Oryctolagus cuniculus: one gene and its partner. The protein of the gene in region 1 interacts with the protein of each later gene in a pairwise test. Links are inferred from orthologs where the notes say so. Each region holds a gene or a part of one and is shown on either strand. Other genes may lie near its edges.

Region 1 (3,804 bases):
GCAGCGGGGCAGCCGTGGCCGGTTAGATGCTGCCCATCGGCACACACCTGTCCAGCAGCAGCACCCGAGGCCTATTCAAGCCTGCAGTGTCCTGCTGAGGACGCAGGTGTGAACGTGAGGGCAGGCCCCAGGTCCTCCACAGCCTGTTCCCACCGCAGCCTTGGGGAAGAACCCTCTCTTGCCATAGGAGGCTTGCGTGACCTGCTGGTCCCTCTCTCGGCTCTGTGCCCCCCGCCCTCGTCAGCCTCTCTCCTTTCCGCCCCGGCGCTTGTCTGCACCTCACACGTCACACACGAGACCAAGTCCACACTGCGCTCAGTCCCAGCACCGCAGGCTCAGGCGGGGTGCGGGGCAGGAGAGCCGGCTCCAGCCCCCAGGCAACTTCCCAGGAGCTAGCTACAAGACACAGTCCGAGCCCCGGCACAGGGAGGCACCCCGATGCACCCGTCTCACGGACCTCAGCCAGGAACGGGGAGCTGACCCCCAGGTACTTAGAAACCAGGTAGAGGCAGAAGAGGTGCCTGTCGATCCCAGCCCCCGTCATGGCCAGGCGGTACATGTTCTGGTGCTTTTGCGCAGCTTTCCGGAAGAGATCCTGGAGGTCGGCTTTCTGGAGGCAGGAGAGGAGGGCAAGAGTGGCCTCGGCCCTGAGGCTGACGAGGGGCACCTCGCCCCGACGGGAGAAAGGGGGCTCACCATGTGCGACCCCTCCATCATGGCCTGCACAAAGGCTGTGGACTCGCTGGTACAGGAACGCACGGTCTCAGTCCGTCCCTCCCGGAACATCCTGGTCATCGAGGCCTCGTAGGTCAGGCAGAACTTGCCCTTGTCCTGGGGTACACAGAGGGGTGAATCTGGTAGGCGCCCTCACGCCACCCTGCCCGCTCGCCGCCTGGGGGAGCTCTTACGCGGAAGTGAGCCAGCTGCAGGGCTATCTGCACGAAGGCGTCCGGGCTGGTCCGACACTTCTTGATGAGGCCCTTCCCGAAGGGCAGGAACTGGAAGCAGCACAGCTCCACATCGTCCGCCAGAGCCCTGGCCACCTGGTACGAGCGCTCGATGACTGCCTGACACTGCCAAGACACGGTGGGTCAGAGCCCTCCAGGTGCAACCCTGGGTCACGGCCAGGAGGCAGGGGGTCGTGCTGACGGATGAGGGCCAAAGGGGCCCACGTCTTCAGGAGGAGGGACAGGATGGACAACTCAGGGGTACCGGCCACCGGAGGCCAGGCTGAGCTTGGTGGGAGGAGGGTGGCACCAACAGCTGCCCCACAGATGTGAACTTCACATCTCACACCTTTCTCTAACCACAGATGGCTCACGGTTCTGCTCTCCTGTGGCCAGCCTGGAGCTACACAGGATCCTGTCCCTTCCTGCTGAGGGCTGGGCCGGGTGGTGGGAGGGGCGGGGGAGGCAGAGTGACTCAGATGATTGTCACTCTCCCACCCACCCCGCACCTGCTCGGGAATGTCCCACTGCAGCCGCTGAGGAGGCGCCAGCGTGGAGTTCGGTTTGCCTAGGCAGTGCCCAGTCTCTGTATAGCCCAGGTGGAAGGTGTCAGTGCCCACGACAAACTGCAGGGAGAAGTCAAGCTGAGAACCTGGGCTCCCCCCACCAAGCCTGCCCTGCAGGTGCCCCTCCCAGCCCTGGTACCTCCCAGAGGTGCCCGATGATGGGGGCGTCAGCCCACGCGTGTTCCGTGTTGAGACCCAGCTGGCCATTCTTGAAGGAAATGAGAGTGAAAGACTTGTCGAACCACCTGTGGGAGGAGTGGGCCCAGGGATGACTCAGTCCTGCAGCTTCCCACAGCAGCCTAACCGCGACACTAAACTCGCTATTTCTAGCCCCGGACCCTCACCCTGACCTGAAGCCTATCCCTAGCACGAGCCCGACCCTAACCTGTGCCTCATCCTGACCAGAACCTCAAGCAGACCCCTGGCCCGTGGGCTGTGGCACGCACCTGTTGTAGCAGTTGCCATGCAGCAAGGCCTTGCCGTAGAGGCTGAGGCTGGCCTCGTCCTCGGGGTTGTAGCAGTGGGCCTCCTCATCCAGGGCCACGAAGAAGGCAGCGCGCTCAATGGCGTCCAGAGAGGCCTTGTTCTTGCCCGAGCTGAAATAGGCCTGGCGTGCCTGCGCCCACTCCACCCTGCAGACCAGAGGGCAGGTGAACAGCGGGGCCCCGTGGGCCCTGGGTGAGGGCACCTCCCGAGACCTGGCTGGGCCTGAAAGCAGGGTCTGGTGGGGGCAGCGGATCACGCCCTCTGCGTGCTCGTACCTGGTTGCCAGCCCCTTGAGATGGGATCCACCCGCTGTGCCAGTGCTGGTACCCCCAGTGCTGCTCCCTTGGCTGTGCCTTTGGTCCCTTGGCCTGGGGTCGCAGGAAGGGCCAAGCACCTCCCTGATGGCCCCCGCCCCCGTACCTTCCACCCGCGGTGAGGGCTGCCAGCTTCTCCTCCCCAGGCTGGGGCGGGGAGGGGTCATCCAGGATCCTCTGGAACTGCATCTCCAGTTCCCGGGGCTTGAGCAGGCGCGAGCCCTCATACAGCCACACCTTGTAGAAGCGGCCCTTGTGGTAGACAGCCACGTGCCTGCTGTCCGCGAGGTGCTGCAGCACATCTGAGACAGAGACCAGGTGCAGGCTGAGGCTCGGCCACAGGGAGCCCTTCACTGGACAGCTGATCCTGCCCAGCCCAGCCGCTGCCCGGGCCCTCCTTCCCTTGGGGGCGGGGCCACACAGCTGAGACAGGCCCCACGCTGGGGCTTCCACCACCACTGCTGCGACACCCACAACAGTCCCGGGAGGCAGCTCAAGAAGAGGCCATCGCCGGCGCCGCGGCTCACTTGGCTAATCCTCCACCTGCGGCACCAGCAGCCCGGGTTCTAGTCCCGGTTGGGGTGCTGGATTCTGTCCTGGTTGCCCCTCTTCCAGTCCAGCTCTCTGCTGTGGCCTGGGAGTGCAGTGGAGGATGGCCCAGGTCCTTGGGCCCTGCACCCGCCTGGGAGACCAGGAGGAAGCACCTGGCTCCAGGATTCGGATCGGCACAGCGCGCCAGCCGTAGCAGCCATTTGGGGGGGTGAACCAACGGAAAAGGAAGACCTGTCTCTCTGTCTCTCTCTCTAACTCTGTCAAAAAAAAAAAAAAAAAAAAAAAAAAATGGCCGGCGCCATGGCTCAATAGGCTAATCCTCCACCTTGCGGCGCCGGCACACCGGGTTCTAGTCCCGGTTGGGGCGCCGGATTCTGTCCCGGTTGCCCCTCTTCCAGGCCAGCTCTCTGCTATGGCCAGGGAGTGCAGTGGAGGATGGCCCAGGTGCTTGGGCCCTGCACCCCATGGGAGACCAGGAAAAGCACCTGGATCCTGGCTCCTGCCATCGGATCAGCGCGGTGCGCCGGCTGCAGCGGCGGCCATTGGAGGGTGAACCAACGGCAAAGGAAGACCTTTCTCTCTGTCTCTCTCTCTCACTGTCCACTCTGCCTGTCAAAAAAAAAAAAAAAAAAAAAAAAAAAAAAAAAGAAAGAAAGAAAGGAGAGGCCATCGTGGCCCCTGGAAAAGGGTCAGCATCGCGGTGCAGTGGGTTAGGTTGCTGCCCACGGTGCTGGCATCTCACGAGTGCTGGGCTTCCTGGGAAGGCAGAGGATGATGGCACTGGTGCTTGGGCCCCGTCCCCCATGTGGGAGACGTGGATGGAGTTCCGGGCTCCTGGCTTTGGTCTGGCCCAGCCCTGGCCGTTGCAGTCATTTGGGGAGTAAACCAGATGGAAGATATTTCTGTTTCTCCCTATTCTAAATGAATAAAAAAAAATCT
Region 2 (3,675 bases), on another chromosome or scaffold:
CCCCAGGCTGCAGGGACGCGTCACAGATGGGCAGCAGCCAGAGAGCCTGTCCTGAGATTTGCTGTCACCACAGAGGACCAAGGAGGGCTTCCAGTGGCTTGAAGCCACTAGGCTGTGTGTCTGGAGCTGTTAGCCACCCCTGTATTGAGGAAATCTTCCCGAATATCCAGCCGTCAGTGAAAAAGATGAGCAGAAAGATAGAGACAGACGGAGACGGCCAGTGAGAGAACTGACTCTTGAAGGCATGTTTGGGAACCCACAAGCAGAACCTGTCCCCTGGACCTTGCAGAGGGACAGGCTGCGTGGGGCAGCGGCTGGGAAGACAGCCTTAGCATGAAGACAGTGCCGCCGACGGCACAGAGCTGGGGCCTGGGTTAGTACAGTGGGCCTCAGAACCCCGTTAACCAGCCAGTCAGTGTACTGAAAATCCCTCCTGGGTGTGAGAGAGCACTGGAGAGCTTAATCCAGACTCAGGGCTCAATCACAGCAAGACCGAGAATTAGCTCCTTATTCCCTCAGCTTCCCCAGGTGTAACATGGGCATCGCAGGCATCGCAGGAGATCTGCAGCTCCCTGGTGCCGTTAGCTGATAAGCCTGGAGGAGCACAGACACAGAGCCCGGAACCTTCCACTGCAGCCGGCTTCTTAACAAAGGCCATCACGCAGGGAGGTGTATGCGGGCTTTTCTGAGCCACACAGATCTTTCCCGGCCTGGTTGAGCAAAAAGAATATGGAGAGGGTTGGTCCTGTGTCATAAGGGGCTGACCCCACAGCCAAAGATGTCCAGGGCTAGGAGAGGCCCAGGCCCTGGCCTCTACAGCTTCCTACTCATTGCCGTAGGGGGACACAGCCCCTGCAGAAAGAGCGGCTGAAGTGGGGTCCGGAAGCCTTGGTGTGGACAGAGAGGTGCTGGTGTGGTCCCTTTATTTTTTATTTTATTTTATTTTATTTTTTTTGACAGGCAGAGTGGACAGTGAGAGAGAGAGACAGAAAGGTCTTCCTTTTGCCATTGGTTCACCCTCCAATGGCCACCGCGGCCAGCACACCGCACTGATCCGATATCTGGAGCCAGGTACTTATCCTGGTCTCCCATGGAGTGCAGGGCCCAAGCACTTGGGCCATCCTCCACTGCACTCCCTGGCCACAGCAGAGAGCTGGCCTGGAAGAGGGGCAACCGGGACAGACTCCGGCACCCCGACCGGGACTAGAACCCGGTGTGCCGGCGCCGCTAGGCGGAGGATTAGCCTAGTGAGCCGCGGCGCCAGCCTGGTGCGGTCCCTTTAAACACGGATTCAAAGCCAGCACCTGTGTCATTTCCTCCCTCGCCAGAGCCACAGCCCCCGTGACCCCTCACGGCTGCACCTGCACCAGCATCCACACCTCCAGCTGTCCCAACACACCTGTTTCTCTCTCCACATTCCTGCAAACTCACCTGCAAAGCGCCCCGCAGACTCAGCCCTCTTGGGCAGCGGCCCAGCAGGTGCATGTCCTTGCTCTGAAGGTACCTGTGACCTCACCGGCTGCCCACAGCCTCCTGTGACCTCACCGCCTGGCCAAGTCAGCCCAGCAGAGCCATGGCCACTCCCCTGAACCACCACAGCTGGCAGAGGGCATAGATGAACACCGAGGCCCCGGGAGAGGCCCAAGCTGCCATCAACCCCCACCATGGCCCTCCCGAGGCCACCCTGGGCAGCGCGGCACACAACAGGTCTGCAGATGGCCCAGCAGCAGGGGCCCAGGGCCAAGACGCCGCCCGTGCAGATGGCTGGTCGGCCCGCAGCGCCACAGCACCCGACAGCCTGCAGGATCTAGACCAGCCCACTTCCCAGGCCACGTCACCATCTGGGGACAAAGACAAGAAGGGAGCTGCTCCAGGTGATGGACAGGAGCCTGCACAGGTCACGTCTCTGCTTCCCCAAGAGCCTGGTGCCCTGCAGGTGCCCGGGAGCCCCCAGAGTCCGGCGTGGGACCAGCTGCCTGAAGACAGGCGGGCGGCTTGGAGTCCCGCGGTCTGGACAAGTGACACCCAGGGCGAGGAAAGGACCCCGCAGACGGCGAGTGTCCTCGGGCAGCTGGAACCGGCTGCAGCCACCCCGGGAGCTAAGGCTCCTTCCGCCCCCGATGCCGACGCTCAGCCCCTGCAGGCCAACAGCCCCAAGGCCTTTGACCCGGACAGCGGGGCTCTGCTGGCCAGTGAGTCCCAGCTGGTGATGGAGGAGGACTCGACGGACAGCTCGAGGGACCTGCAGTTCCAGTCGTTCCCTCCCTCCCCGGGGGGCAGCTCCCCGCCCTCGCCGGGCCCCCGGCAGCGGGGCCTGGGCAGGCCTCTGGACTCGGACCTGTACGAGGCGGACGAGGAGAACGACTACATGCGCTCCATGAGCAGCCTGCTGGGCGGCGGCGAGGGCTCCATCAGCTCCCTGGCCGACCTCCTGGTGTGGTCCGAGTCCACCATGGGCATGGGCATGGCCGTGGGCTTCCTGGCCTCGGGCCACAGCTCCCCCACGGACCTGCTGCACAGCACGGGGCCCAGCCTGCGCTCAGTGTCCAGCATCCTGGGGAACGCCAGCTCGGCCTTCTCGTCCGGGCTGACTTCCGGCACGGGCTCGGCTCTGCGCTCCGTCACCCACGTGCTGGAGACGGTGGAGCGGCGGACGATGGAGGGCATCCGATCCGCCATGCGCTATCTCACCAGTCACCTCCCTCTGCGCCGGGCCCACGCCGGCCCCAACGGCGACTAGACTCCGCCCACTAGACCCTGCCCACGGAACCCCAAAGGACTGGCACACGGCTCTGCACCTCGGACAGCCCTGGGGCCCTGCTGCCTGGCCCGCCCCTGCCCTGGACGGCTCCCGCAACACCCAATAATAAAATCACCGGAGAGCGTTTATTTTCTAAGCGCCAGCCTCACCCGGTGTCCATGCGGTGGGCAGCAGGGCGGATGGACACGAGGGGCTCAGCTGTTCAGGAAGCAGACTGTCCCCTGGGGACTTACGCGTTGTACAAATTTAGGAGCCAGGGGCAAAGCTGCAGAATTAAGAGTGTGGCAGGGCTGGGGGGAGGGTGTTGGGGTCTCAGACCTGCAAAACCCATCCCAGCTGGACCACCACCAGGTAGGTTCCGAAAGAACCCACACCTGGGCCTGCCCCAGGCTGAGCTGGCCCAGCAGGCTGCGGTCACCTCGGTGTGGCTCTGAGAGTCAGTGGAGGGTGGAGGGTGGAGGCGCCAGGTCAGACGGGCGTGTGTCGGGACCTGCGCACCGCCACTTGCCCTATGCCGGCGCCTCACTCTCTCTCTGAGCCTCTGTTCCCCAGCGTGGAACAGACAAGCTTCCCATCCCAGCGGTGCTAGGAGCCAGAGGAGTGGCGCATGCCCCGCACGGAGTCTGGCTCTTTATGAGCACCCACACCGCAGCTGCTGTTATCACCACCCTCCAAGGACTGGAGACGGTGGGACAGTGACCCATGTGAGGGCCACCAACCAGGATGCCTTGGACTAAGGGGGTTCCTGGGATGCAGGGCTTTCAAATTGAAAACTGGGGCTGGCGTTGTGGCCTAGCTGGTTAAGTCGCCACCTGCAATACCTGGATCCCATTTAAGTGCTAGTTCGAGTCCCAGCTGCTCCTGATTCCAGCTTCCTGCTAACACGCAACCTGGGAGGCACCAGTGATGGTTCG

The links.
Region 2: the proteins of CPT1B (region 1) and TEX44 interact in binary tests that used the Homo sapiens proteins (3 or more experiments, as listed by UniProt). The two-hybrid records come from large-scale screens. The link is inferred for Oryctolagus cuniculus from reciprocal best matches to the Homo sapiens genes CPT1B and TEX44.

The regions. Positions count from the first base shown.
Region 1 is NC_091442.1:123,496,480-123,500,283, forward strand, and holds part of CPT1B (carnitine O-palmitoyltransferase 1, muscle isoform), read right to left. Parts: intron 2,616-3,804; coding exon 2,420-2,615; intron 2,146-2,419; coding exon 1,960-2,145; intron 1,759-1,959; coding exon 1,653-1,758; intron 1,574-1,652; coding exon 1,457-1,573; intron 1,074-1,456; coding exon 909-1,073; intron 832-908; coding exon 697-831; intron 611-696; coding exon 458-610; intron 1-457. UniProt on the Homo sapiens protein: Catalyzes the transfer of the acyl group of long-chain fatty acid-CoA conjugates onto carnitine, an essential step for the mitochondrial uptake of long-chain fatty acids and their subsequent beta-oxidation in the mitochondrion.
Region 2 is NC_091434.1:7,713,288-7,716,962, reverse strand, and holds TEX44 (testis-expressed protein 44), read left to right. Parts: upstream 1-1,519; 5' UTR 1,520-1,615; coding exon 1,616-2,740; 3' UTR 2,741-2,897; downstream 2,898-3,675.